4 linked regions of the Mytilus edulis genome follow. The protein of the gene in region 3 interacts with the protein of the main gene of each other region in a pairwise test. Links are inferred from orthologs where the notes say so. Each region holds a gene or a part of one and is shown on either strand. Other genes may lie near its edges.

What was found.
Region 1: the proteins of tuftelin-interacting protein 11-like (region 3) and ribosome assembly protein METTL17, mitochondrial-like interact in binary tests that used the Homo sapiens proteins (3 or more experiments, as listed by UniProt). The link is inferred for Mytilus edulis from reciprocal best matches to the Homo sapiens genes TFIP11 and METTL17.
Region 2: the proteins of tuftelin-interacting protein 11-like (region 3) and kinesin-like protein KIFC3 interact in binary tests that used the Homo sapiens proteins (3 or more experiments, as listed by UniProt). The link is inferred for Mytilus edulis from reciprocal best matches to the Homo sapiens genes TFIP11 and KIFC3.
Region 4: the proteins of tuftelin-interacting protein 11-like (region 3) and bystin-like interact in binary tests that used the Homo sapiens proteins (3 or more experiments, as listed by UniProt). The link is inferred for Mytilus edulis from reciprocal best matches to the Homo sapiens genes TFIP11 and BYSL.

What each region holds. Positions count from the first base shown.
Region 1 is NC_092348.1:13,935,887-13,943,340, reverse strand, and holds the start of ribosome assembly protein METTL17, mitochondrial-like, read left to right. Parts: upstream 1-4,432; 5' UTR 4,433-4,454; coding exon 4,455-4,550; intron 4,551-7,454. Other genes in the region: diphosphomevalonate decarboxylase-like, read right to left, coding at 11-78, 1,671-1,741, 3,602-3,653. UniProt on the Homo sapiens protein: Mitochondrial ribosome (mitoribosome) assembly factor. Binds at the interface of the head and body domains of the mitochondrial small ribosomal subunit (mt-SSU), occluding the mRNA channel and preventing compaction of the head domain towards the body.
Region 2 is NC_092348.1:92,546,884-92,554,716, reverse strand, and holds the start of kinesin-like protein KIFC3, read right to left. Parts: upstream 3,008-7,833; 5' UTR 2,889-3,007; intron 1-2,888. UniProt on the Homo sapiens protein: Minus-end microtubule-dependent motor protein. Involved in apically targeted transport. Required for zonula adherens maintenance.
Region 3 is NC_092353.1:62,694,746-62,702,018, reverse strand, and holds the start of tuftelin-interacting protein 11-like, read right to left. Parts: upstream 3,006-7,273; 5' UTR 2,894-3,005; intron 1,679-2,893; exon of another isoform or gene 1,580-1,678; intron 247-1,579; 5' UTR 216-246; coding exon 110-215; intron 1-109. UniProt on the Homo sapiens protein: Involved in pre-mRNA splicing, specifically in spliceosome disassembly during late-stage splicing events. Intron turnover seems to proceed through reactions in two lariat-intron associated complexes termed Intron Large (IL) and Intron Small (IS).
Region 4 is NC_092355.1:40,791,281-40,798,668, forward strand, and holds the start of bystin-like, read right to left. Parts: upstream 3,016-7,388; 5' UTR 2,953-3,015; coding exon 2,806-2,952; intron 1-2,805. Other genes in the region: 17-beta-hydroxysteroid dehydrogenase 13-like, read left to right, coding at 7,338-7,388. UniProt on the Homo sapiens protein: Required for processing of 20S pre-rRNA precursor and biogenesis of 40S ribosomal subunits. May be required for trophinin-dependent regulation of cell adhesion during implantation of human embryos.

The sequences.
Region 1 (7,454 bases), on a different chromosome or scaffold from region 3:
AAAGACTTACACACCATTCAGCCAGATCTGATCTTTTGTAAAGTTTGGACAGGCAGCTATTGTAGTTTTAGTCCTCAGCTGAAAATAAAGTGTAAAATATACATGTAGAGTACAGTCAGATCTGATCTTTTGTAAAGTTTGGACTGGCAGCTATTGTTGTTTCAGTCCTCAACTGAAAATAAAGTGTAAAATATACATTTGTACATGTCGATTACTGTGGATTCATTTATTTTCGTGGGTACCAATTTTCATGGTTTGAGGAAAATTTGCATATTCGTGGATATTTAATTTCGTGGTTTTGGCAAAGTCTGCACACATTACTTTAGAAAATTTGTAATTCGTTGAATATCTAAATTCGTGGTTCTCCTGTACCCACAAAACCATGAACATGATGAAAATTAGTATCCAACGAATATAAATGAATTCACAGTATTTTTTTTACTATTCATGAAAATACTATTTTCAAAAAATCTTTCACAATTTTATAATTTATTTCCTGCCAAAAACCATATGAGTATTTTCAACAGATGTAAATTACCAACAGTTGATAGTGTTGTGTTATAAGTATTACATGCAAAAAATTTTTTTATTTCAAGCATTGACATTCATTTTTTTAATTTTTAAAATGTTAGATTTTCATATTCATGCATCATGTGCATAGAAACAGGAAAAGACTTTCTATGAAATGGAAATAGCATTATAATCATGATACAACATAGTAATAAGACTATGATTCTGGTTCATTTTCCGATACCAATATTTTTGGGGATTAAAAATAAATAGCATTTTCAGGGATATCATATGGATATCATGGTTTTGCCTGCAGTCTGTATACAAATCCTATAAAAAAAAACTTTGTTTAATATTAAATAAGTTGTTTTTCTATATTACCCATGATATCAATGAATATAGGCAACCCACCAAATCATTATTGAAAAATAATTTGACATAAAAAGAAATTGTCAAGAGGAACACAGCCTGCATTCATGTTAGAAAATGACCCATATTTTCATGACAAATATTCTGATAAACGGTCATGCAGGTTTGATATGAAAAAATACAACTAACTGAGCGAAAGCTGTTGATGTGGAAGATGCTAGATTTGTTCATTTATTAGGTTTATATATTCAACCAATAAGTTAAGGATACAGGTCTATTTGGACAGAAGCTTATAAGAGGGTTTAAAGGGTTATTTTCATGCAACTTTTTTGCCATTTTTATTTCACGTGCAGCTGTGAAAAAGGTTCGTTGTTCACTGTGTTTCATGAAATCAGTAAAAAGATCAACCTGCAACCATTTTTCAATTGTTCGTTCATCGTGAAATGGCTATTTTGTTGGTCTCATTGGGGTCTAAGTGTGACGTGGGATTGCTGATTTTTTTTGTAAGCGTGACACGTGAAAGTCAAATTATTGTGCCGTGAAAACGGGAAATGAAGTCTGGCGGGACACTGGAAATTACAAAAAAATGAGAATTCCTTACGTACATAGTGTAAGCGGGATACGGGAATCTGACACAACAATAAGCGGGATCCAGGATCAGAACCCCCCCCCCCCAATGAGACTCCCAATTTTATTTTGTGTTCTTCTGTGCACATACCCCCCTTTACACCCCTCTTATAACTATGCCAAATAAATAAACATTAGCTGCATATTCACCATGTTCACAATACCTCATTCTGATGAAGTGTCACACTAACTGAAGAGTTCAATGGCAGTATCAATTTCTCATTTCTCTTTCCCCCTGAAATTTAGAAAAAAAAATTATTCATTATACATTTTAAATTATAGGTCATTTTTAAATTATAATTCATTTCCTATTCATTTATTATGATGATCATTTATGAGGTTTTATAATGATAATTAAGGGATTAGTGACCCATCTGATTGGCGATAGGCGGATTACTTGTCATCACAACTTTTAACACCTTTTTGACGAAATTGATATGAAATATTTTCGTCATTTCTAAAACCTTTTCGTAAAATACGAAAGTGACGAGCGCTAGCAAAATCACTGCCTATTGCCTATATTGTAATGTTTTAAAAACAGGCGACCATGTCTAATGATGTCACATGAAAAGAACACAATTTTCCACAAATCTTTGAAAAGGAATGATATTTTTTTAGATATCGTCTACAAATCATTAGAGAATTAGATTTTACTACTATCATGACTATATCATGTGTATAACAATACCTCTCAACTCTCAACAGTAAAATTTTACATATATTCAAAACGCATGACAAGACTCAAAATTTAACTGTCTGGAGTGGAGAAATACTGTAACACACTTGATGCAGTTGTGGAATCTATATATCATGTATATAAATATAAGAAGATGCTGGTTTTTTTAAAGCAATTCTCTATTCCTGATTTTTTCATAAGCTGTATATATTGTTAACATAATTATAACACGTCTAGTGTGTTTATGAAGTTATACATACATGTATGAAACACAAGTGTGCACAAACTGAAATGTATCACCTGCTTTTATAACTGTGTTTGATATTTTGTTGGTACATGTAGTCATACATTTTTACTACAAATATCACATAAACTTAAGTCTTCACATTATCATAATCCATGAAATGAGTCAAGGTCAGATAAACCATTTACCAATACAGACAGACATGTAGTTATTGTACACTTTAAATCTTTTCATATATACTAAATATAGTTTACATATTACATATAGTCATGATACATGTAGTAAACAAGAAAAAGACCAGTGAAACCATGAAATTGTAATATTGAACAAAGAACATGAAGAACAATGAAAAAGAGGTATAACTGAATAATCATGTTTTTATTTCAATTTGAATTATTAATGTATTTTACATTTGCATGATTAAATTGATTGATTGGTGGTTACTTAACGTCCAGTGGCAAATATTTCATGCATGTTTTACATGGTTAACATGGTTTAAGGACATGAACTAATTAACAATTAATAAAATAGGTAGGCCCTGTCACAGCCTCACAGGTGCTTGAGGATAGGATCCTGTATGAGCCCCATATAGTACCTCCCCCTTATTATCATAAATCTCAGATTTTTCGATACATATATCACTTATGTGTACCATATATATACTAATATATCATATTTTTACTATAAATATGCATGTTTACTATCAACGTGAATCTCAACTATAGCGCTCCTGTCCTCAAGCATCTGTGGGCCCTGCTGCAACAGACCTACATACGAGGGGGAGGACAGGGGTAAGGAAGACAGGGAGAAAGGGGTAAGGAAGACAGGGAGAAAGGGGTAGGAGAAAGGAGAAAGGGGGTAGGAGAAAGGAGAGGAAGGCTGGGAGAAAGGAGAAAATGTTTGAGAAAAAAATTAAATATGAAAAAAATTAAATATGAAAAAATCTTTTTTCCGGTAAATTAAAAAAAATAAAATAAGGAGATGAGGGGTAGCAGAAAGGAGAAGAGGGTGGGAGAAGGGAGAAGGGTACCCCCCTGTCCTCCCCCTCACATACCCCTAAAGGATCTGAATTTTCAAGGTAAATGGCTACTTATTCGACCTTTACTGCTTTTGAATAGTAGCACCTGGCCCTTTACATTTACATTAAAACTGCCATTGATACTGTAGTTCCTTACAATATTTAATAACAGCAATATTTACAGGTCCTGTGCAGGTGTCACACTGCATTTCCTGGCTTGTGTAAGATGAAGGAAAACTGCTGAAAGCTTCCGAAAGTAAATATTATTGACCGTGGCCTGTATTTCATATTTTTTTTTTTTTTCAATCATATGGTTTTTCGAGATAACTAATTGCAGATAACCACAAAATTTTCTTTTTTTACGAATTGGTCTTCTCTTGCAGCTGTTTCTGTTTTATTTAATTAATGTCCGTCGTTGTATGTATGTACTGGTAAATGCCTCCGATATCCGAAGAACCCCTCGAAAGCTGCGAGGGTACAGTGGCATCCATGTACACTCCCTAACGGGATTAATGGAGATGTGTCACTAACGTATATTTATACGACAATTATTTTTACAAGGACAACCAATCCCCACCCAATTCAACACAAAGGGAGTGCTAGGACACCGGGAAGTCTGTTATTGTGGTGGAGGAAGCCGAAGTACTCGGAGAGAACCACCGGGCCACTCGGTGGAAACAGACAAACCAGAGAGATATCAGAAGATTGATCTCCAGGTCAAAGTAGGGACACTTTGACCAACCGAGGCCCCCAACGTACCCATTCTAGTTTAAACTCCGGTCTGGGTACCAGAGATGTGTGTGAGAGGGTGAAAATTACCCTTCTAATGTACTGAGATTTTTAGCACCCCGAGTGAGAATCGAACTCGGGACCTTCAGCACTGTAGCCATCGGTCTTAACCACTAGACCACGAACCGTTGTCTTTCTATTTAAATTTTCTTTTATGAAATATTAGACAAAACTTGACTTTCGGTTTTTTCTAGGGTTTTCTTTCCATTCAACTTAGAAAAATGGCAGCCCCCATGCACAGGGCAAGAGTTTCTTCTTGGAAACTGTTTTCTCGACAATATAGAAAAAAATCGACCAAAATCATACACCCATCAGAGGTAAATCATCCGTTTCAAATTTTTTTCACCAACCACGTTAATTTTTATCTTTTTTGCCACCTTAGCTTGAACTCTGAGATTCGTCTGACATTCGGTTACACAATCATGACATGAGGGTCAGGTAATGGGGGACCTTCATGACGAATAACGGTAAAAATTCTTGTCAAATGATGTTAATGGTAATTTTTGGCGCATGACACTTTCTTTTAGACGAGCTAATTTTAACCAATCACAGTAATTTTTTCCCTAAAAATGACGGTAATGATAATTATTTGAAACCTCTAACGAATCGCGAATCACGATAAGGATAATTTGATGAATCATGGTAAAATTTTAACCAATTTGACGCTAACGGTAGCCGAAAATGACCGTTTCACGCCTGATGGTAAAGGGCATTACTACCCTCAATCATGTCATGATGTCCAGCTGAATTTAAATATGAGGCAGGCACAACCTGTGAATGGGGATGAAGTCTGTATGCATTATTTTTTTGAATTCAAACATTGATAAAAGAAACAGAAATACCGTAACGTTCCGATTTTGGTTCGGTTGTTAGGGATTTAGCTGTGACGTAGTCTAGCTGTGACGTTCTTAAAGTTAATATGAGGCAGGCATTACCTGTGAATGGGGACGAAGTCTGTATTAATTTTTTTTTTAATTCAAACATGTTGACTGATAAATATATATTTTATTCAAAGTCTCATGCAAACAAGACCGGAAAAGGAAGTAGATTTTTTGCGCGAATGCGGGGAAAACTGGAACAGGAAGTAGATCTGAAAAAAAAGTTAACGATTTTGAGTTCATTTGTAAAATTTTTCTACCATAATTGGGGACCTCGTCCCCATACAAGTTTTCCTCTATACTTGTTATCTCAATATCTGTATTATTCATACCCCAACACTCCTGACCCAAAGACAGGTCGGACCACATCCACTCTGACCATCTAAAAAAAACAATTCAGACCATATAAGAAGACAACTCAGACTGTCAATAAGACAACTCGGATCGTCTATAAGAACAACACAGCCAAAGTGTTAAAGGAGGATTTAAACTATACATAAATTATTATAAATTATTAAACAATATATTTTAGATTGCAACATCATTTCGCCATGTTACTGACTTTGCAAAAAAAAAACAACACCAACTCGGATCATCTACAACACTCAACATGCTAAATTGTCTATATAGGCATCGCTTCATAGAAAGTCCGAGTTATTGTTATTTATATAAATTGACTGTAAAACTTTCATCAGACATATAGCTTTCACCCTTAAATCATTTATTTCATCAAAAGTCTTATTTTATACTTAGTCTGAGTTGTTATTATAGACGGTCCGAGTTGTCTAATTGACGGTCCACGTTTTCTTATTGACGGTCCGAGTTGTCTTCATAGACTGTCCCAGTAGACTTTAATGGAGACAGTCTTAGTTGTCTCCTGGCCGACTTCTCTTGCACCCGTCCTTGTAAACATTGTTGTAATAAAGTTAATCAAGATAGGGCATGTAGGGAGTGTACACAGATTCTACTGTACCTTCGCAGCTCCTAAACATGTGCCTAAAAGTGGCTTTAAAACACAAAAAATCTTATATCTATGACATTTATAAACAAACATACATTTTTCGCTGCTTTGAAGACCCATTGGTTGTCTTTGGCTGTTGTCTGCTGAGCTATGGTCGGGTTGTTTTCTCTTTGACAAATTCCCCATTTCCTCAATTTTATACAATGTAGGTAACTTCACAGTTAGTTCGGCCATATTGAATAGGGGAGCAAATTTGTTTTCGAAAGAGGTGGAAATGGTTATATATATGAATTTTTTTTTACCTTTTGATAGATAAATGCCTATGGTTTCAGGAAAGGTATCATTCTAATGTATTGAAATTTTAAAAATATTTTGGTTTGCCCAAACCCTACCCAAACATGGAGACAGTTAGGTAGGTAGGCATTTTCTTTTTCTTTTTTTGACAAAGAGAAATTTAAGTATTGGACATCATGGACATGTTGGATGTTTAGAAGTCTTCATCATATTCATGCATATCTGATTAAAAAAAAATCACATGAGGACAATAAAAGATTTTGAGTCTGCAGCTATTTTCTGAGTAGGTAGGGCAAACAAACCTATTCTTTTGTTTGACCCAATTATGGGGACTTTTGTGACATTTTCACACCCTTTTAATTATTTTTGCAATATTTTGTATCAAATAAATGCAGATTGTTGCTATATTTACACCAAAAAGAGAATTTTTCACCATTATCACTCTTGCTCTTTCAATAAATATACACATATATATAAAGCCTTATTTTTCAGAAAAGAAGGAAAAGAATAGTGGTTAAAAATTATGAGTGTCAATTTATAGTTTTTTTCCTAACTGTGTATTACTAATTTTATGACTGGTCAAACCGAAACGTGGTAAATCATCATGATCATGATTAACATTCATTGACACTATGTTGCTAGTAACCTACTGAAGGCTTTTTTGTTATGGCCCCGCAACAAAGTTGTCAGGGACATTTAGTTTTACCCTTGTCCGAAATTCTGTAATTCCGAAATTCCATAATTCTGAAATTCCGTAATTCCGTAATTCCGAAATTCCGTAATATTGAAATTCCGTCATTCCGCAACAAACCATTATACAGGTTTTTTTCTAAACAGCTTTAGATATTGGACTTATTTTTGGTATGTGAGTTAACCATGATGAGTTACAGATCAAGTTTGAGTTTCGTTCCGCTTCACTAGTTTTTGTCGAAATTACGGGCTTTGGACTGAGAAACTGTTGAAAATCTCAGCTATATGGTTTTTTTTAAGGCCTTTAGATTTTGAGCAGATTTAGTATATGTGAGACTACCATCTTGTTAGTGTCCGCATGTGTTGTTGAAATTGCAGATTTTTCAAATTTTTGGAAC
Region 2 (7,833 bases), on a different chromosome or scaffold from region 3:
AGGACGTCACAATACAGTCACGACACTATAGCGGCGCCGAGAGCTATGCGTATAAACAATAGTGTGATTTCCCTTTAAGTGTCTATTTCAATTGATTCGATTAGTTTAGTGAAAGATTTTAACTGATTTAGTCATTAAAAAGCTGGGATTCAAGTTTAAATATGAAAAATCTAACAAATATATGCCAAAAAACGTCACTTTTCAAATGTTTTTTTGTGTTCATCCTCAACTTTATATATATTATGTAGTATCATCAAATACAACTTGCATTTCAATATTATGAATGAACACGAATGCGGCCACTTTCATTTCAGACGGACACCATCTAAAATTAGCTAAAATGCTAAAATTGTGAAGATTTCAGTAATTAAGCACGACTTATTGATGCTACTAACCGATATATGTGCATTGTATTGTCAAAAACAGCCCATATTTATCTAGCTGAAGCATTCTACTTTCCATTAAATAGCTTAAAGATTACATTTTCACAATTTTGTAAAACTGCTATATTTTGGGGCCAATAAGGGGTCTTACTGAACCTACTCCTTTGTATGATTTTCATGTTCATCTCAAGATTTGATTTATCTCCCTTTTACCTTCTCCAAAAGTATACATTGTACTTTACAAGTAATTTATATTCACAGCACCTTAAATTCTCAACCTTATTTTATGTCAATACATATACCTATATGTCCTATATATTTTTTCTGGTTTATTTTTGTATCACTAAAACTTTTTTAATGAGAGTTCAACTTTAACTCATGATCAAGGAAAAATAAAGATATACATGTACATTTATGGATGTAAAGTTGCTGTGCAAGGCCTTCAAAACTTGCTCCTTGGGTGTTTGGAAATGATATCATTTATATAAGTGGACCTGTAAAAGACAATTAAGTTCTTTGTCCATGAAATTATACATTTATGAATAGTATATTGACATCTACATGTGTATTACGGTAATTACAGAAAATCACTCTGACATTTACAGCAATGCAGTCAAAAGAAATTGAAACAAGAAGAAAATATGATTTTTTTTAACTTATATGACAAAATAGCCCTTTTTCCAAACTAATTATAGAGTATTTAAAAAGAACAAGGTGATTTTTAGATCTAGCAAGCCTGAATCCCAATCCCGGATGCTAAAAATATATACCAAAGGACTGTGAGAAATACATAAGCACCAGATTAAGATGAAATCAATACATTTTATCGGACCACAGATGAATTATCACGTTGTGATTGGTTAAACGTATGGGGTTAGTAAGTTTCATATGGGGTTCATGACGTGTTAATGGCGACGTCATCTATTAATGTTGTTGTGTTTCATTGTTTATTTTTCAACAAAACGCCGTAGAAAAAGTCAAGCGTCCAATAAATTCGTTATACGGTTAACTACTGACGCCCTACGGATCCATAGAGGGTGAATAAAATTCATAGGGGACTCGGCCTCCGGCCTCACCCCCTATGGATTTTACTAACCCTCTATGGATCCGTAGGGGGTCAGTAGCGAACCATATAACTTATAGTAGTACTATATGACAAGTTTTAACTGAAGGATTTCACCTGTAAAGGTAAATATTTACCACTTGCATAAGTATTAGGCCTGACTTTGTCTGAGATACATGTATATCAGAGACATATAAACTTGTGCATGATGTGATCATATGTCTCTGGGTAAGAGAGGATTGCTGGATTTCCAGACGCAATAGTCACATTTAAATGACATTCATAGGATGTGTAGGCAATACAGCCACAAATGGAAGTTTTTAACGACCTTGACTGGCTATACAGCCCTTGCATGGTCTGCCCTGGCTTGCGCCTTTTTGGGCATTAAATAATTTAATTTTTACCATGTGGTAATTGAAATAATTTAGAATGATAAGTTTAATAAAAATGTTAAATAAACAAAAATTTAAATAAATAAATAAATAATTTTTTTTATAAATAAGTAAATAAATAAAGAAAAGAATATAAAAATAAATATAATAAAATAATATAAGATAATTTTGTTTAATAAAAAATAAAAAAAAATAAAAAAAAAAAAATTAATAAATATTTAATAAACATGGTGCCACCAGAAGTAGGAACAGGAGGAAAGCTAGGCTAAGCAAACAGCAGTGAACGGCAGCAACGTTTTCCTGGTAGTCCTGGTACACCAGCAGCCAAGTAAAGAGCGGATAATTTTGATATGCCAAATTGTGTATGTGAATTTATATGCCAAATATTTTGTATAAACCGAAATAAGCCTAAATTTGTGTATGTGAGTTTTGCAAAAATAATTAGTGAGTTGTTTTGTATGTACTAAAAAAAAATGATAGGTAAAATAAAATAAAATAAAATAAATATAAAACCAAAGGGTGTATGTAAATTTTTACTGCTTTGTGCTAGCCTACCGTAGTTGCAGGACTTTATAGTGCTAGTACACTGGAACGCTATCCTCAGGAAGACAGCGCCCCACAACATGTGACTTCATTCTAAATATCACATAAAATGCATACCAATGCAAGGATACAGTGTCTATTACATCATACCTATTTTTAGATATTTTGCTATTTTGTTACCAAACAGAATATGATATTATGGATATTGTGTAAGTTTTGTATTTCTTTATCAGCCACAAGAATGTGTCTCTGTAAAAAAATACATTTGGATAGTCGACCTGTCCTTCTCGTGGATATCAGTGGATATCATAGAAACAAGTACCTCTAGTTATAAATAATTTGTAGTAGTGTTTACAGTCAAATAAATTATTTATAGACATTTACATGACAAGAAACAAGTGCCTGTTGACCCATCTGAAGTACAGTATACTTCTTTCGACAGCACCCAATAGGTGTTCTCATCTTATCGAAACATTATTTAGTATTATCGTAAACTGAAAGTCTTACCAAGATATTATTCAAAATTGCTTGCAAACCAGATATCAAATTTCCCGGAAATTTTTAAACTTTTACGTCACCAAATATTGTGTACAAAGAAATCTTCCGCTCGTATCGGTAAAGATTAGAATAAAATGCGGGAATTGGATTTTGGTTTTTTTTAGAGTTATTCTTCGTAGTCCACACTTTTGTTCAGTTTAACCAGAGACATATATAGTTTAACCAGGGACTTTCTATATCATATAGAGGATATATTAGTATAATTTAATTTTGGATGTAACGCGTCTTCTGATTGGCTGACGTTCTTCTTCTCTTCTTCTTTATATACAGAAAAACATCAACTGGTTGATGATTACTGATCATTACTTTCCGGCGCATGCCTGGTTTAACAATATTGTTAATGATTAAAAATATATATTTTTGGTTTCTTAATAATTTTTCAATTTTTATGATACAAATGTATATGTAAGTAATATTTTTCAATTTTTATTTTTAATTTTTTTTTATGAGCCCATAGACATAATTTAGTCATGTGACTGTGACGTCATCAACGTTTTTTCATTGTTTTCTACGGTTTAAGATGGAATTTAGAATTAAATTATAAGAAATGACTGTAATATTTTTTCTGTCTATGAAGAAATAACATAAAAAAATTGGTGCACACTGAATAACGCGCGTAGCGGGTTATTTAACAGTGTGCACCACATTTTTTATGTTATTTCGACATTTCGATGTAGGATGCAAATTTCAGTATAAAGACAATATGCGCAAGTGGGTGATAAATTTTGTCCTGCATTTTTTTTATAGTTGTAATCTCTTTCAAGCCCGTTTTCATTTTTCATTCTCATGATTTTGTCCTGCCTTCTTTTTTATTAGTTTATCCAAGGATATAGAAACATAACTTCTAAACCCCCTACCAAATTTTTCAACCAATTGTAACCAGATACAGATATGTATTTATTTTCTAAAATCATTTTAAATGTTTTATAAATTATATAGACTTTTTTGTAATACAGTACAACATATTTTTTTACTTACATGTAATATTGTAAAAATAGTGCATAACAAAAAATCAGAATATGAAGCCACATTTGGCAAAAAATTAGGCAACCTATGGGTCTTCAGGTTCAAATATATAGAGAGAGTTAAACCAAATGCTATTGAGTTTCATGTTTCTCCTGTAGCTTGTTTTTATAATTAATATTTAAAGGTATTGATAAAATTCTATATAAGATACATGCAGCTTCATTAATTTTTCATTTTAGCAAACACCTATTTGTGGTTTTATTGCATTATTCAATGTCTTTGTTTTTTTCAATGCTTATATATTCATAGTATAATTTATGATAATGCCATGCATGTAATTGTATGTGAATCAACAAAATAAAACATGAAACTGTTGCTTTTGATCATATTATAAAGACAACATATGTTAAATGCCTCTATTAAGTATATTTTTATTTACAATACATTGGAAAAGTAGGATAGGACACCAACCTTTTTATTACTAAGTTGGCATAGGACATCATTTTTTTTTCAGTCAGAAAGCCATAGGGTTGTAACTTTTATTAAATGTTTTTATTTTTTGCACCGGTCCTATGTGACGATAAATTTTGACCGGTTCCTAACTTCGTACTTTATTTGTCGTTTCCAGATCTTTAAAAATCCTGTTAAAATTCCGAGAAAAAAATTACTTATTCATAAAAATGCACGTCACACAGTACATAAATTTAACAGTACATATTACCACAGGTAAAGACATAACCGTTGAAACACAAACAGGGATCTGCATGTCACAAACAAGTATGATATATCATTTGACAGAAGCCTTTGGATAAGTTTGAAATAAAACAGGAGAGAGAAAAAAATAGTATTTTATGTGCAATACATAATGTGTATTTTGAGTTCATTTTTTTTTTATGAAACTTTCATGCGACAGTACTATTTAAGCACTATGAATATTACTGACATAGAATACAACTTTTTCCCTGATGAAACAGGGGCATATAGATACCGTAATGCACTATAGGCCTTATTTCAACCCCTCAAAAATATAAAAAAATAAAAAATAAAAATAAAAAACGTTAATAAGAAATAACGACAACGTATGAGATTATCATGATTTTCCCAAACTTGATAATCATTGCACCTTTCAACTATCAAATGTTTTGCATTTCCCTGAGATTATCAAGCATGTTACAAAATAGTAATAAGATCTGGAAATTAAAAAAAATATATTTCGTAATTTCTTTTATCTAAAATAACACATTGATTTAGTGTTATAAGATTTTATAATAAAATTAACGGTTCCAATTTTCTTGCGCATTTCGACAATACATGTCTCTTCAGTGATACTCGTGGCCAAAATATTATAATTGACGTATGACAAGACAAATATACATCATTATGCAAATAGTTTTTACTTGCTTTATTTGTTATGTTTTTTTTCTAGTCAATATGAATAAACAGAACCTTGTTCTAGTTTTTATAATGAGGATAAACAGTGTACTTTAAACATGTCTGTTTTTTGTTAGCTTGAGCTTGCGGATTTCTATATAGATTAGTAGCATATACTGTATAATCCTTACTAGTGTTGAGGGTGTTTTTTTTAGCTTGTCCTTGCAGGTTTCTATATAGGTTAGTAGTATATACTGTATAATCCTTACTAGTGTTGAGGGTGTTTTTTTTAGCTTGTCCTTGCAGGTTTCTATATAGGTTAGTAGTATATACTGTATAATCCTTACTAGTGTTGAGGGTGTTTTTTTTTAGCTTGTCCTGCCAGATTTCTATATAGATTAGTAGTATATACTGTATAATCCTTACTAGTGTTGAGGGTGTTTTTTTTAGCTTGTCCTGCCAGATTTCTATATAGATTAGTAGCATATACTGTATAATCCTTACTAGTGTTGAGGGTGTTTTTTTTAGCTTGTCCTTGCAGATTTCTATATAGGTTAGTAGTATATACTGTATAATCCTTACTAGTGTTGAGGGTGTTTTTTTTAGCTTGTCCTGCCAGATTTCTATATAGATTAGTAGTATATACTGTATAATCCTTACTAGTGTTGAGGGTGGTTTTTTTAGCTTGTCCTGCCAGATTTCTATATAGATTAGTAGTATATACTGTATAATCCTTACTAGTGTTGAGGGTGTTTTTTTTAGCTTGTCCTGCCAGATTTCTATATAGATTAGTAGTATATACTGTATAATCCTTACTAGTGTTGAGGGTGTTTTTTTTAGCTTGTCCTGCCAGATTTCTATATAGATTAGAAGTATATACTGTATAATCCTTACTAGTGTTGAGGGTGTTTTTTTTAGCTTGTCCTGCCAGATTTCTATATAGATTAGTAGTATATACTGTATAATCCTTACTAGTGTTGAGGGTGTTTTTTTTAGCTTGTCCTGCCAGATTTCTATATAGATTAGTAGTATATACTGTATAATCCTTACTAGTGTTGAGGGTGTTTTTTTTTAGCTTGTCCTTGCAGATTTCTATATAGATTAGTAGTATATACTGTATAATCCTTACTAGTGTTGAGGGTGTTTTTTTTTAGCTTGTCCTGCCAGATTTCTATATAGATTAGTAGTATATACTGTATAATCCTTACTAGTGTTGAGGGTGTTTTTTTTAGCTTGTCCTGCCAGATTTCTATATAGATTAGTAGTATATACTGTATAATCCTTACTAGTGTTGAGGGTGTTTTTTTTAGCTTGTCCTTGCAGATTTCTATATAGATTAATAGATTAAAATAATTGTTAAGATATATTATTTATTCAAATGTTCTCTTATATCCTTGAGGCATCGTCCCCTGGTATCAACTGCATTCAAGTTACCTATGATGCTTCCTTGTTTGCTTTTGATACAGGTAGGAAAGAGACATTTACACACATTTTACATGCCTATGGCCCATAAGGTATCGCCCCCTGGTGTCAGCTGCCTTTAGGAAACCATAATGCTTTCCTATTTGCTGCTGACACAGGATGAGTCATGGACATGTTTAATTTCTACTTTCTTTTTGGCTAATTATTATATATTTAATTGATCCAACTTTTTGTGTACTATACATATGTGGATATCTATTTTTCTTTTTTTCTTTTTGGGCTGCTTGTTTGTTATCTATATCAACCACACTTGCAATAAAATGCATTAGTATTAAAAAAAAAAAAAAAAAACATACTATAGATTTCTTTATCTACGTATTCTTTAAGAACTTAAATAGTTCTCGTTTACCTTTTTTTTTTTTATTATTATCTCATTGTTTGTATTGTATTATGAAAAAAAATTATTGATGTTGTAATGTTTATGCCCTTTGGGGCCCATAATTGGAAAAATAAAATATCTTAGTAGTATATACAGTATAATCCTTACTAGTGTTGAGGGTGTTTTTTTTAGCTTGTCCTGCCAGATTTCTATATAGATTAGTAGTATATACTGTATAATCCTTACTAGTGTTGAGGGTGTTTTTTTTAGCTTGTCCTGCCAGATTTCTATATAGATTAGTAGTATATACTGTATAAACCTGACTAGTGTTGAGTGTGGTTTTGTCAGTTTCTTTTTTTACCAAAAAGCAAAGTGTGTTTGTCTTTGTCTATAGATTTTAATCGCGTCTTCTTTTTTTATAAAATATAATTAAACTGTAGAATCCACGTGAATTTGTGGAGAATGAAAATGAGATAGAGTTAGAGATAATCATAAATTAAGAGACACGAAAGCTAAGAGAAGGACTATTCAGTATAACAATGGAAAGTTTCAGTTTATCATATCGTCTTCTAAGGAGGATTATGGTTCTTTGCTGTCGAAGAAGTCACCTACAAGCAAATAAAAAAATGTTTTACTGTAACTGTGGAAGGGAGCAACAATGTTTTAGTTCTTTATAAAAAAAAAATAACACTATAAGGTACAGGGGAAAGTCCGGATTCATAATAATTTTTTTTGTCATCTGCTTAACCATAATAA
Region 3 (7,273 bases):
GTATAGCTTTGACATCAAAATAAAAAACAATGTTTTACAATATTATCTCCCTTGATGTTATAAATAATAAATTGACTTTATAACAAATTCTGTCTCATATTTTACATACCATATATGGCCTGGTTTTTGGTCTGTCTCCTTCCCATTCTTGGGTAGAATTCATTTGCCAAATCATCTTCTGTAACCTCAAATCTTTCTACTTCTGGTGAAGACATAGTTCACTGTCTAAACAACATGAACAACAAACTGAAAGCAATCATTGCATGATATTGAAATACAAACACAGTTTTGAACATGGTTTGTACATGCAAATTTAAGTTTTGTTTTGTAAAAAATTTATTTCTTCTTTTTTTTTTAATTGTTTTCAAAGAATCTTAAAATTTCCCAATCTTTTTGATTGGATGAGAATTTTAAATCATTTTTGGACATGTATATACCAGTATGACCATGTAAATCATGTTGATGACCAGCCTCATATCAAATATGACGAAAATGCGTTTAACTGATAAATCTACGACAAAGGAACTTCAAATTGTGATCGTTGGAGAAGTATTAAAATTCAAATGTGAACTGTCAGTGGGGAAACAATTTTGATCAAATGAAGAAACTATACTCCTGGATGTTGCAATGCAGACTTACTGATTTTCCTGGGGAAAATAATTGTGATGGTCAATTATGAGGTTTATAAATAATTAACAGATTAGTGACCCATAGGATGGCAATAAGCGGATTAGTTGTAATCACAACTTGTAACACCTGTAAATGTAAATTACCTAAGGGTCATAAACTTGTCAAAAACATAAAGACAGGTAAATTTAAAGTATTTTAATGTGAAAATATTTTTACACTTCCAAAATTTAAAAAAAAAATAACGAAATTGATTTGAAATACATTACTTTAGTCAATGCGAAAACCATTTCGTAAATTATGAAAGTGAAGAGGGCTAGCAAAACCACTGATTGTATGGCTGTTTAGCTGGGTTTTTTTTAGATAGGTAGTGGCTTCTAATGCCTGACTTATTTTAATATCATAATCATAGGGTAGGGCTGCAAATAGAACATTATCAAATGAAGAGGGCAAAACGGCTATAGATGAAATGGTACTGTGGTCGAACAAGTTGTGTATCTGTATATCATGTATATCTAAGTTGTTATAAATTATGAACCTAACAAGTTACAGATAATTTTTGATGAACCATATGCATAAAACATTATTAACTTCTTCTTCTTCATCTTCCTCTTTTAGGAACACCCCTCTTTTGAGGGTAATATGGATAAAAGTCTTTAACTATGTACACACTCTGTGAATATATGTAAACACTTGCTAAAATCTAAAATAGACTTAAGTTTCTGAGTTGACTGATAATTGTCAACAGCCAATACACACTTATCAGTTTTAGTGTTGTGTTATGCATCTTGTAGCACATATCTCTTGTGAGCATTTTTATAGTCGCTGTCAGCTGAAATTCGTAGCGGTTATCGGTAAAACTAATCTAGACTATCAACCACGTTCATTCATGATATAGTTTTTCATATTCCATTCATAAATCGCAAAAAGAAAAACCACACTACTGACCTACCTTTTAAGTGATTGCAATGTGATAATCCTGACCTTCACATTTTCCAAGACGATTTTGAATGGTGGAATCCGCCATTGTTTTTACCGGAAGTGCTTCCGTGGAGATCAGTTTCATAAAATTTGCATAAAGCGCGGGAAACCTTATCACATCAATGAAAAGAACATTTCAGGAAACTGTGTAAGTGACGAATATCATATGTAAACTAATGATCCTCATAGAAAGAAGATGGTGGAATTACAATGGAAAACATTCTGGAAAATGTGAAGGTCAGGATTATATGGGGACAAAGTCCCCAATTACGGTAGAAAAATCAATAAAAAATTTTTTTTTTTTAAATTTCGGGAAAATTTCCCGAATTTTTCATTGTACTAATGAACTCAAAATCGTTAACTTTTTTTTCAGATCTACTTCCGTTTCCAGTCTTCTTCCGTTTCCGGTCTTGTTTGCATGAGACTTTGAATAAAATGTATATTTATCAATATATCAACAAATATTATATAGGAAGGAAATCAACACCCAATCATTTTTAATAATTGTTTGATATGAAAAAAACGTTACCTGGATAACAGCGTTTCTATGTTTACATTGAATATTACGTCATAACTTAAATAACGTCACAACTAAACCCCTTACAACAGAACCAACATCGGAAACGTTACGGTATTTCCGTTTCTTTTATCAACATGTTTGAATTAAAAAAAAAAATTACAGACTTCGTCCCCATTCACAGGTAATGGCTGCCTCATATTATGATTACTACAGTGTGATGACTTAAAAGGTAGGTCAGTAGTGGTTTGACTTTTTGCGATTTATGAATGGAATGTGAAAAACTATATCTCGAGTGAAAGCGATTGATAGGTTAGATTATTTTTACCGATAACCGCTACGAATTTCAACTGAGGGCGACTATAGTTCTTCTATTTTGAGCTTGCTTTCACTAAATATATATGTGAAGTTTGTACAGTCAATTACAAGGACTGTAATTTTATGTCTATCAATGAATGTTCTCTTTCCACTTCATTTGACATTCCTCCAATGATATTTGGTTACATAAGTTTTTATCTGGTTGAAAGTTTCTTTTCTTGTCTCACTTTAATGCTGAGCAGGTAGTAAGCATATGAGTAAGGTCTTCTGGTTCTTGATTGCACATTTGACGAGTTGGAGCAATTTCATATCTGCTGAATTTTATGCCGATCAGCTTGTAGTTGTAGGGTATACGTTCGTGTCATCATCCTACTTTTGGCATTAACGTAACTTACAGGTAATCTTAAAATCAAAAAATTCTAAATATTTTGAGTTCATAAACCTGTATACCTGCTAGCTAATGAAGCACCGTCTGTATGGTCTATCAGCTAAATACTTCTGCTTTGCAAAACCAGAAGGGAACACAAACAATTTTTCTTCAACGTTCAATAGTATTTTTTAAGGTCAAGTTACAGTAAATGGGCTATGTCATAGATTTCAGTAAAATTTGGCATACAGCTCTGGCTCGATGAACTTCAACTGAAAATCGAAATAATAATGCATTTATCTCAATTATCATTTGAAATATTACTGATTGAATTCTTACAAAATGGGTGAACATTTGTATAGAAAGCACATAAAATCGGCGAAAACTCTTCTAAAATTTGTCTTAAAATCGCCAAATCTCTAATTCTACTCCATAGATTTTTCTTAAAAAACTATATGTTGTTGATACATAAATTTCCGTTATAATGATGCAAAATAAAGATAGGGTCACCGACTTCGTTTTTACGGTATATATCATTCAAAGATGCGTTCTTTGTGAAAAAAACCAACAAAACGTCGAAATAATCGTAACGTTATCGCGTTGCAGGCCGTAAAACGTTGATTTTTGACGTTTTTCACTACCAATAAGGTAGCAAAATGATTATTAGACAAAAAACGAAGTCGGTGACCCTATGATTATTTTATATCATTAAAACAGAAATTTATGTGTCAACAATATATAGTTTTTTAAGAAAAATCTATGGAGTAGAATTATAGATTTGGCGATTTAAAGACAAATTTTAGAAGGTTTTTAGTCGATTTTATGTGCTTCCTATATACAAATGTTCACCCATATTAAGAGAAATCAATCTGCAATTTTTCAGAAAATAAAAGAGATAAATGTATAAATTTTTCGATTTTCAGTTGTAGTTCAACGAGCCAAGGTTGTATGCAATTTTTTAACAAAATCTGCGACATAGCCCATTTACTGTTCCTTGACCTTAATGCATTCGTATTTGAAAACACGACAATGATAATGACTAAAATTTAATATTTAACCAACTTCGGTTATGAAAAAGCTATAATTTCCGTGTTTAATGAAATCATTTAGGTTTGTTTTATTTGTGTAGTCATTGTATGATTTGGCTTATGTTACTGCTTTTTGTATCGCATAGATTATATAAATCATTCTAATTTTCTGATTATTATTTTTTTGTCGTCACTTTATGCCGCCCCTCTTTACATGTATTTCTCAGAATAAGTTTGAAAAATGATCAACCCGGCTCAACTTTATAAGAAAATGTTAGATTAGTTAGTTTTAGTTTAAACATTTTTATAATATGTATAGTGGATTGGGGAACACGTTATTGAAACTCATATTTATCCCTTTCTTAATTTCTGGTGCTGCATTTTATTATTTATTCTGCATGCCTTGTTTTATTTGTTATTGCATATGTTTTTATATTCGGTGAATAGCTCATTAGAGCTTATGTTTGTACTGTTTGTCAATATGCCGAGTCCAAATATAGTTTTACTTATACTTACTTACCTACTTTTCTTTTTTTTTGCGCGTGCGAGTGTTACCTTGTAGAGGCATTATGTTGCTCTTTTTTCGAAATCTACAAGGGAAATGTGGTATGAGTGCCAATGAGCATGATGGGACAACTCTCCAAGTCATAATTTGTTAAAGTAAACCGTTGTAGGTCAAAGTACGGTCTTCAACACGGAGCCTTATTTGGCTCAAACCGAACAGCTAGCTATAAATTGCCCAAACATGACTAGTGTAATAGCATTCAAACAAGAAACCCGACGGCCTTAACTAATTAAAAAATGTGAAACGAGAAACACTTATGAAAAACATCAACAAACAGCAACCGCTGAACAACAGGTTCCTTACTTATCCGCGGACAGGTACAAAAAGATACAGCGGGTTTAAACATTAAAAATAATTTTGTTGTAAGGACAATGGTTAAGGTTTTTCTTGTTTGTGTTAAAACAAACATGAGTTCCCAATCAAATTGTTCCTCATCTATTTCATATTGTATTCCCATGTGTATAACTCTATGAATGAGATTTATAGGATATTTTAGAATAAAGTCGGGGCAAATAAGACAAGACTGTGAGTGAAGAGTGAAGTCATATTCTAATTTGAAAATAAACACTCTATTTACATATTTTTTTACATAAATTTCTAATTATGCAGTTTTTGAGGTGATGTTGCTATAGATAATATATGTTTCCATAGTAACAATTGAAGTCAACAACACTTGACGATAGTAATTTAAAGTTTGCGTTAGCTTTTATATATTTTTATCGGTTATGACATTTAAGCTCTCAAACTGCGATATTCTGCAAATAAAAAATCGGTTGCTATGGTGATAAAACTATAGAAAATCCCACGTATTTTTTTTTCATTTAATTTGGTAAAGTAGTATCCAAACTTCATAACTACAGTGCTAACTATTCTGTACACATTTGGACTTTTCTAAAAAAAAACACCAGAGAAAATTTGATAATTTAGAAGAAGAAAAAAAACAATTTCAGAAAAGTTGAAAATATCACGACATTTTGTCATTTGGCTGACATGCAATCTTCACTAAAATGAAGCTTAAACCAAGTTGTATCAATGTTACATATGAACATTAATGAAAAATACATGATTCTATTCATAATCAGGCTCTAAATTGCGGTGATTTAGCTGATTTTTTAAAGCTTTTTCTACTCTTAACAACCAAAAAATAGATTGTTCGTTAACATGGCAACCATTCATATTTTCCCACTCATAATTATTTTTGAGCAGTATTCATTATTTACTGCTTCTACTATGTCAATTATAAGATAAAATCTGAAACCTTCATATATCGCACTCTTCCTGGTTCTTACAAAGAGTTGTACTTAAATCTAGCATTGGACATCCTTTTTTTCATATAAAGTATAAGTAAAATCATTCGAAAGTAAATAAACTCATCATAGATATGTGAACGTGGAAAAAGTCGCACTAATTTATGTATTTCTTATTTCGGACATTTGGACTTGTTTCTTATATTATTTATAGTTTCTGTTTAATCTTTCGGACAATTTCATTCTAATTCAACAGACAATGTACTTTGATTTGCATTCTTAAAGATCTTTCATGTGTGTCACTTTTTAATCTAAAACTGTGAGAAAAACTATACAAGGGATTGTGTTAATTTATGTTACACAACTATTTCATTTCATAATTATTTTAATCCGTTAATGTCGTACATAGATAATTCTTTTCAATATATATTTTATCAGTTCTTGTCCAGGACATGTTTGATAACAATGACATTAATCCGTTTTTCAATTACGGTCTATTGTTACTTTAAAGTGTTAATCTTATGTTTGTAAAATTTGTCAACTTTATTGTTATGTAATCTTAATTCTTTGACAACCTGTAAACATTGTCTATCTTTATAATGTTTCGACTGAAGTTAATTCTTTAGTCGGAGTCAGCCTTTTGAACTGACATCATCCGTTCATTAAAGTGAAAATAAAATCTATACTGAAAGTCTTCGTTTGTATTCGCTCTACCAGTCTGTGAGTTAGTTCCGCCAGTGGATTTATGTTCAATAGGCAGGGGACCAGTCTTCGGTCACTGTCATTCGTTTCGGCATCTTCGCCAGTTTCAGCAACAGAACCTGTTGCACGGTATCAAACATTCCAGTTACAACAACGTTGTCACATTTGGCGGAGGTAATCCAGAGGCGTGTTGTCTTTTTAGTACAACACACGGTACCGCGTACCTCAGCAGTCAAGCGACCAGAGTTCTTCCCCATCTTCGTATCAACTTTCAGTGATGGATTTTAATCTAAGACCGCAGTGGAGTATGTGGAGACAGAATCATTTCACACATCAATATCCAGTTTGTGGTAAATGTGGACTTGCACATCATCGTTTCGAAATGTGTCTAGCTTACAACAAAAGATGTTTCTCGTGCGACAAATTCGGACATTTCGCAAGACAGTGTTTCACAGCTAGACCAAGTTTATTCGGTAAAGTTCGATTTACTAAATCAACAAGTTCGAAAGTGTCAAGTGAACAAAAGAATTCAACAAAAAAACAACTTAGAGACAATCGCCGTTTAATACAGTATTATTCAAATAAAAACAGTCTCAGGGAATTGCCATTCAGCAGTGTGCGAAATTCAGCATTCATGAACTTTTTCGACCAGGCAGCCCCAATGAAAGTCGAACTAAAACAAGCAAACATTCAATTACGGAAAAATAAATCAGTGGTTTCCGCAAAATCAGAACTTTTAAAAAGTGCACAAGAGACTATAAGAACTCTCACCTGCAAACTAGTGAAAAGTCAAAACCAACTAGATTCGACAGAGCAGTTGAAAGAATGTTTAGACAAAATCACCAAACTAGAGAAAGAAAAGGAAGACAATGCTGCATGCACGAAAAAAATATCAGATCTAAACAATTTCCTAATTCTAAA
Region 4 (7,388 bases), on a different chromosome or scaffold from region 3:
TTAAGAAGCTACATGACGTACATAGGACTTATACATAATTCATGAATGCAAAACTATTCAAAAATCTTCTGAATAGAACATCTAAATAGAATAAAGCATGGTTAATTGAATACATAAACAACACATTTTTGTGTTATGGAATTTACTAAAAATTGTCAAAAATCTGCCCTTCGGGTCTTAGCAGAAACGAACTTCTTTATTACTTTGTCAATAATCACACAAAAATCCCGATGAATATGCAGCAATGCTAGCGATGCTAAACCGTCGTTGTTCGTTGTTAATCGTACATATGTTTTCAACAGACGTAGTACAATGAACGATCTCTCTGCGGTAGCACCCGCGATATGTAATCCAGCGTGTTCGCCATCAAGCGACCTCCCGATTGAATTTGTCAAAATTACAAAATGTACATGACAAGTCAGTTTCTTTTGTCTCAAACAATGCTGTGATTTGTTCGTTTGTTGTATTTCCTACAACACGAGGAAGCAGATATGCGCAAAGCAGTGATTTTTCTGACTGATATCAGACGCGACTCCAGTTCCATAAATTATCATGTACCTATGTACATGTAGCTTCTTAATTAACCGTCCTATGGCCAAAACCCGAAAAACAAACAATTTTCCGGTACCACGATTTCCCGAGAAATACAAGAAAAACATTATATCCCCAAAACAAACTGATATATCCCGAGAAAAAGACAGTTGCTGGTGTTATGCTACGTTTTATAGTGTTATACTACTTTTAACAATATTAAAGAATATTAATTAAAGATATTACTCGTAAATTATCATGTGGTCTATGGACGCAAAATATAATGAGACTTTCCAAGACTGTTTTTGCGTGTTTGCAGGGTGATTGGCTTTGATAGTCACATTGCATCGGCATATTTAACGATATCGAAGGGTTCTGATAAATCTAATGGCCGATTGGTACATCGCATTCGAAACAGATAAACCGTACTCTGTAAAATGTTCTCCGAAACTACAAGAGTATAACAAATTATAATCTTGTAATAGATTCAAGTTACTGTCCGTTTTTGTCATCTGCAATAAAACTTTAATTTTGAAACCAAATGCCGCTATTTAATGACATTATATCATTTGAATACTCGTATGTGTATCCTTTATATTTTTAATTTATAAATTTTTATTTTGCAATTTATTTTTTTTGCATGCCGAATTGATGTGCACGCAACTGCGTGTTGGCGTATAGGGAGCTACGCGCCTGATTGACCTTGAAGTAAATGGTGTACCACGCGCATGCACATTCCTCAAAAAAAAAACTGTTTTCTTGAATGAATGTTTCATATGGACTTATTTCTGCTGTTTTGAAGTTTAGGTTGTTACAATAATTAATTGGACTGCCGAGGTATTTATCAGCCAAAGGTCTATAGCTACAATGTACATGGAACTTAAACAAGTTATTCAAGAAAATAAGAGGCATCATAATAAAATAAAGACATTATGTCATTTTTCTTAGTTTCTTTTGATACCTATTCTGACACAGACTTCTTTTAAGCTGATTTTTACTGTGCATATTGCTGGGTATCGGGACTGTTCGCCCTATAACATGTTCGCCCTAGGTCCGTTTGCTCAGAGTTCGTTCGCCCTCCTATAAAAATATTAATATTCAGGGCATTGAAGTTGAATAAACTTATTCAGATATTTCTATGATATATTTATCTTGTATATTCTTGAAATTTATGGAAACATTGAAATATTTAAAAGTTTATGGCTTGTTTAGGATCGTTAATTGTTCAATGACAAAATAATCACTGATTATTGTCATTGTCTTTTGATGAATTAATAATAAAAACAAACGTTTTGTTTTGATAAAATATTCAGCTTGAAATTAATAAAAACAATGATGTACGAACTGTTAATTATGAAAAGGATTTACAAGTTCATTTATTTATACTCTAAGACTAGTCATACTGCATACATTTGTGATTGACTGAATACAATTATTTTGTTAACAAATATCAATAAAGATAAATACATTGTATTCCAGTATTCTACTCTGCAAATCAAAGTGAAAATGATAAATTGATTGCGGCAATATAAATATTCTGTCAATTTTTCAACAAACTTAACATATTTTGTTCAAATACTTAAAATAATGCGACTAGACAACAATAAGAAAAAAAAAGAAAAATCAGGGCGAATGGACCCTGGGCGAACAGGTATCAGGGCGAACAGGTACTAGGGCGAACATGAATCAGGGCGAACGGACCCGGATTCATATTGCTGTGTGTTTGTTTTTTCGTCATTGGCTAGAGGTATTGGGAGATCTCACAAAATATGTTTTAACGTGCCACACTTTAGCTGAATTGACCCGGATCTGATTTGGTTTGTACCCATGACCATGTCATATCGGTTAAAAGCTCATTAGAGCTAATGTTGTCTTTGTTTGTATACCTTGCCAACTCTATATAAAGCTTATTTATTTATTATTTACCCCAGAAATGACCTATTTTATAAGCCTGTCTCTTGTCTGGGCACTATATTTATCTAGTCCAAATAATTATGACGTCTTGAAAGGCTATTATAATTTTTTGTAAGGCGTCAAAGAAAAAAATTATAATAGCCTTTCAAGACGTCATAATTATTTGGACTAATATTTATCATGTTATAGCTGATCGACTGTTTAGTATTTTGCATTGTTGAAAACCTTAGATGACTTTTAATTTCTTGTGTCCACGTCATTAGCACTCTGGTGTTGTCTCATCTGCTACTAGTTTGATTAACATTAAATCTCCTAATTTATGTAATAAAGCATTTATCATGCTTTATATCATGTTTATACCGAATCATCTTCGTCCTTTCTGTTACGAATTTTATTTCGGCCTTTGAGTTTAACTGATTTATCTGTTAAGATCTGATCTGCAAGTGTTTGGGTTTTGTCGGTTTCGCCCTCAGTTTTAGATACTTTAACTTTCTTTGCCTTTCCCATGTTTACAGGTTTCACGTGTTGACAATTAATATGGAAGAGATCGTTAGGTCCAGAGAAGTTCCGAAAATCCACAGTGTGCGAATAAAGGAATGATTGTATTATACAAATTAGTACCGGAATCATACTGTGATCAAAATCAGCTAAAACTGCTAATTAACTTCATACGCCGATTTTTTTAAATTAAAAAATCATTTATAAGTATTAAAAAATCAACATCAATGTTACCTTAGCGTTAAAAAGATTATTGGACAAGTCGGTTCGGAGAAGTTTTGGACCGATTATGTTAAGTCAACTCGGACCATCTTATATCGACCCAGACAAGTATTTAAGGAAAGTTTGAAGTATTTAATGATTATAAACCATTTAATATTAAATTTTGAATAAAATTTTCTTTTGATAGTTCCTGAATTTGCCAAAATAATTTCATCCCTGTGAATAGACTTAATCCTACGGAATCGTATTAGCATGATTAGGGACAACACAAACTTAATTTGGGCTGGCAATGACCGATATCTGGCAAACATAACTATTTCGTATGGTAAGCCGTTGTGGAATTTATTGTACCACTGAATTTATTTTTTTATTTTTCTGGTGATGGCCACGTGGCCAAATATTCTGCATTGCCCCTATCAGAGCTTTGGAAAGACCTATTCATATCAATATTTATATTTTCAGGAAAAAATCAAAACATAATGTCACATTCACTGAGTTTACCACTGACCGATTTATTTACTTTGGTCGACATACGCGATTTGTAGGTATCTTTTTATTTATAGTCAAATAAGACGTACACGGAATTTCAACCCTTCCATGTATTACATTCAAATACTTGTAATACGATTTCCCTAACCTGGAGTCTGGACTAAGCAAACATACAAACTATTATTCCCATGCATACAGTTACGTTGTTTCTTGAATGCGGTCCAACGATTTACAGAAAAGAGCGACGATTTACAGAAAAGAACCGAAAAGAACCGAAAAGGACCAAAAAGAACCGAAAATGGACCGAAAAGAACCGAAAAGGAATACATATATATTTATTAAATAAAGTTAAAACCATGTATATATACATGGATTTTTTATAGTGTTAAAGTTTTGACTGCCAACAGTCCTTGTTAAGGTAAATATTTAGAAAATTGTTTATCTTTTTATAGGTAAAATACACTAATAAACCTGGAGCGCATAAGTCAATGTCAACACTAGTATTATTGAATTATTAGAGTATATTGCTATTATTTTGTTGCGTGTTTCCTGTAGTATTTTTTCATTACTCATATTACATATCTATCTATTGTCTGTGTATTGCATATATATATATATATATATTGTTTGTATGGCTATATGCCCTCCTAGGGGCCCTTATTTGGTGAATAAAAAAAAATCTTTTCTATTTTTCTATTCTATAAAATAGGCATCCAACCCTACCTGTAATTTTTCACATACATGTGAGTTAAAATTAGTCCTCTCACAGTATAAGGTTTTCAATGATTTGCAATTTGCTTATTTCCTTCGATTACAAAAAAAGTCGATATCCTTTTCGGTTCTTTTCGGTCCTTTTCGGTTCTTTTTGGTCCTTTTCGGTCCTTTTCGGTTCTTTTCTGTAAATCGTCGCTCTTTTCTGTAAGTCGTCGAACCCTCTTGAATGAGCGTAGTTACCGTTAGTCACGTTAGGCACGTGTCTACACAAATTGTTTTCAAAAATATTTTTATTTTATAAAAAAAATAAACAAAGTTATGCTCGCCAGCCGAGAGAAGCCGTCAAAACTCTCTTAAAATTATCAAATGTCATGTGTACACTAGTATATCATCCCTAGTGAATGGAGTATTGGATATAATTGAATGCCCCTTTTTATATAGAAAAGATATCTAAAACTTTGGTTCAGATCATTTCGTTTCTATCAACAAATACTAGATTAGACACAAAAGTCGTGATATTTGTCAATTTTGTTTAGTTGTAGCTGGCTTTCAACTGGCCCGAGAACACAGTTATTTCGTAGTGCATTTCTTTTAGACAATAAATTCAAATTGAAAAAATCGCACCTGCTCTTTCTCAAAAAGATATTACAATGTAGTATACTACTAGTGGGACAAATAATATCAAAATTATAGAAACCTCTACCAGCTCTAACTCAAAATAATGACTATTCTGTGATAAGGGGGTCATAATTCAGTTTGACAGCTTCAGACGTACTAAAATTATACATTTTTAACTGGACCAAATCACTTCTTAACATAAAGATTCGTTCAGCACCCAATTTTTTTTAACATGTAATTAAAATTATTTCATCCCCTTCTTCATATTCAAATCAATATGAGTTAGATGTAATAATTTCTCATATAGATATATCATATATATTTTAAACCAAGTGTTTTATTATTTACAGTCTAATTGTATTGTAATTGTGTATGTAATTTAAATTCTATATGCATAGATCTATGATAATCAATGTTCTGTTCCCTTATACTTGTATTCTCTATCCCTTGTGGGCCCTAAATTGGAAATAAAATATATGAGATATCTTATCTTATATGAGACAATATCTGAAAAAGTCTAATTTTTGGAAATAAGAAAAAACAAAAATTTTTTGTTTAGACCCAGTATTTTAATAGCACAAATCGAAGAACACACATTGGGGATCTAGGAACTGTTGTCTGTAATTCAAACAATTGTTTAATAAGGAAACAATGGCTATTATAAAAATGGTACAAAAAAAATCCAGTTCTTTCCTGTTACCAAAGTGAATCAATTTTAAAAAGTTTCTAATGGGAATAAGGAATAAGTTTAAGACAATATTTGTGGTTTACTAGTATATCCTGCAATAGTTTATCAAATGCCAATTATTGATTTTAGCATTTGCAATACAAAAGGTTTAGAAATATACTTAAATATAGTCAGATATGTCATATGTCGGTAACATGAAAGAATCTTGAGTAACAGCACAACGGTAAGAGGACAGAGTTGGTAACAGAAAGGATTTTTCTGCTTTATTTTAAAGTTTAAGAAAAATACATCATTTTAAATTGGTCACAATTGGAAGATAACAGCAAACAATGTCATTTATCCTTTGAAACTGTATTTGCAAGATGAAAAATCTGCCTAGGTAATGAAAAATTCTAAAATAAATTCCTTTCTGTTACCATCTACTAAACTAGAATTGCACAATGTTCTCTGCTGTTATCAAAAGCAAAAAAACAATTTTTTTATTCAATATACTTTATCTTATTTTGAAATTTATTTAATATGGTGGTGATAACTTATATTAAATGAAATGGTTGGCATATAGTAGATTAACTTTTCGATTCTTCAGTGACATTGTCTTGAACATCCTTCCTGTTACTGATGATGGTTATGCTGTTACTTTTTACCAGGTAACATGACGGAACGTAACAGAAAGGAATTACGCGATAGTTTTTGTCCTTTTTATCACATTAAATGTAAGTGTATTTCCTGTGACATATAACTTTTAAAAAGATGATATAAAAACACACTTAATGCTGTGGTGCACACTTAAAAATATTCTCAGAAAGTGTAAGAAAAGGCTGTAACAGGATAGAACACCAATAAGTATTTTTCTATAAATTCTTACCTTGGATGGGCTTGAATTTTCAAACCTGGCCGCCTTCCAACTATTTCTTTGTACTAATGCATTCAGGAAAAAGTAAAATCACAAAAATACTGAACTTAGAGGAAGATCAATTGGGAAAGTCCATAATCACATGGCAAAATCAAATAACAAAACGCATCAAAAACGAATGGACAAAAACTGTCATAATGATGCTCTTCACAATACATAATGGGAAAATAACTCTTGGTCTTGTAAACGTTTCCACAGGTAAAAAAAAAACCAGTGGTAACAGGAGGCAAATCACCCCTGGGGACAAATTTGTTTTCTCTTAAAATTTGCAAAATTTTATTACATGCTATAGTTATAATATAAAAAGACAAATTAGGGGCAAGTTTATTATATAATATATCATATATGTGAGAATCAGACGCCTGTTTAATTAATTTGGATATTATTTGAATGATTTAGTTTTCAAAAAAACACAGGGGACAACATGATTTTAGGGGGGTTGAACATTTAAATTACAATATTTTATTGGAAGAAATATAAGAATGAGTGTTTAATTGGCAGGACATGGTGCATTATATAACTTAGTTTCTACTAAAAATTTACAATTTTTTAGATATTGTCTCTTATATATATCCTGCATAGGATGGAAAATATTGTCGCAAAACTAACACTGTGCCCCTCGAGTGATTTTAATGAGTGCGGAAATCCTGTTTGATCATATTTATCATTCCTTTATTCATTCTCATTTTGTTGAATTCGAAACCTTCTTGGGTTTTTCCATTTCATGTCGTTAACAGGTAAACAGACGAAATGGCAACAGTTGTTGAAAAACTAATATTTTTCGTCTGCATTTTCTTCCCA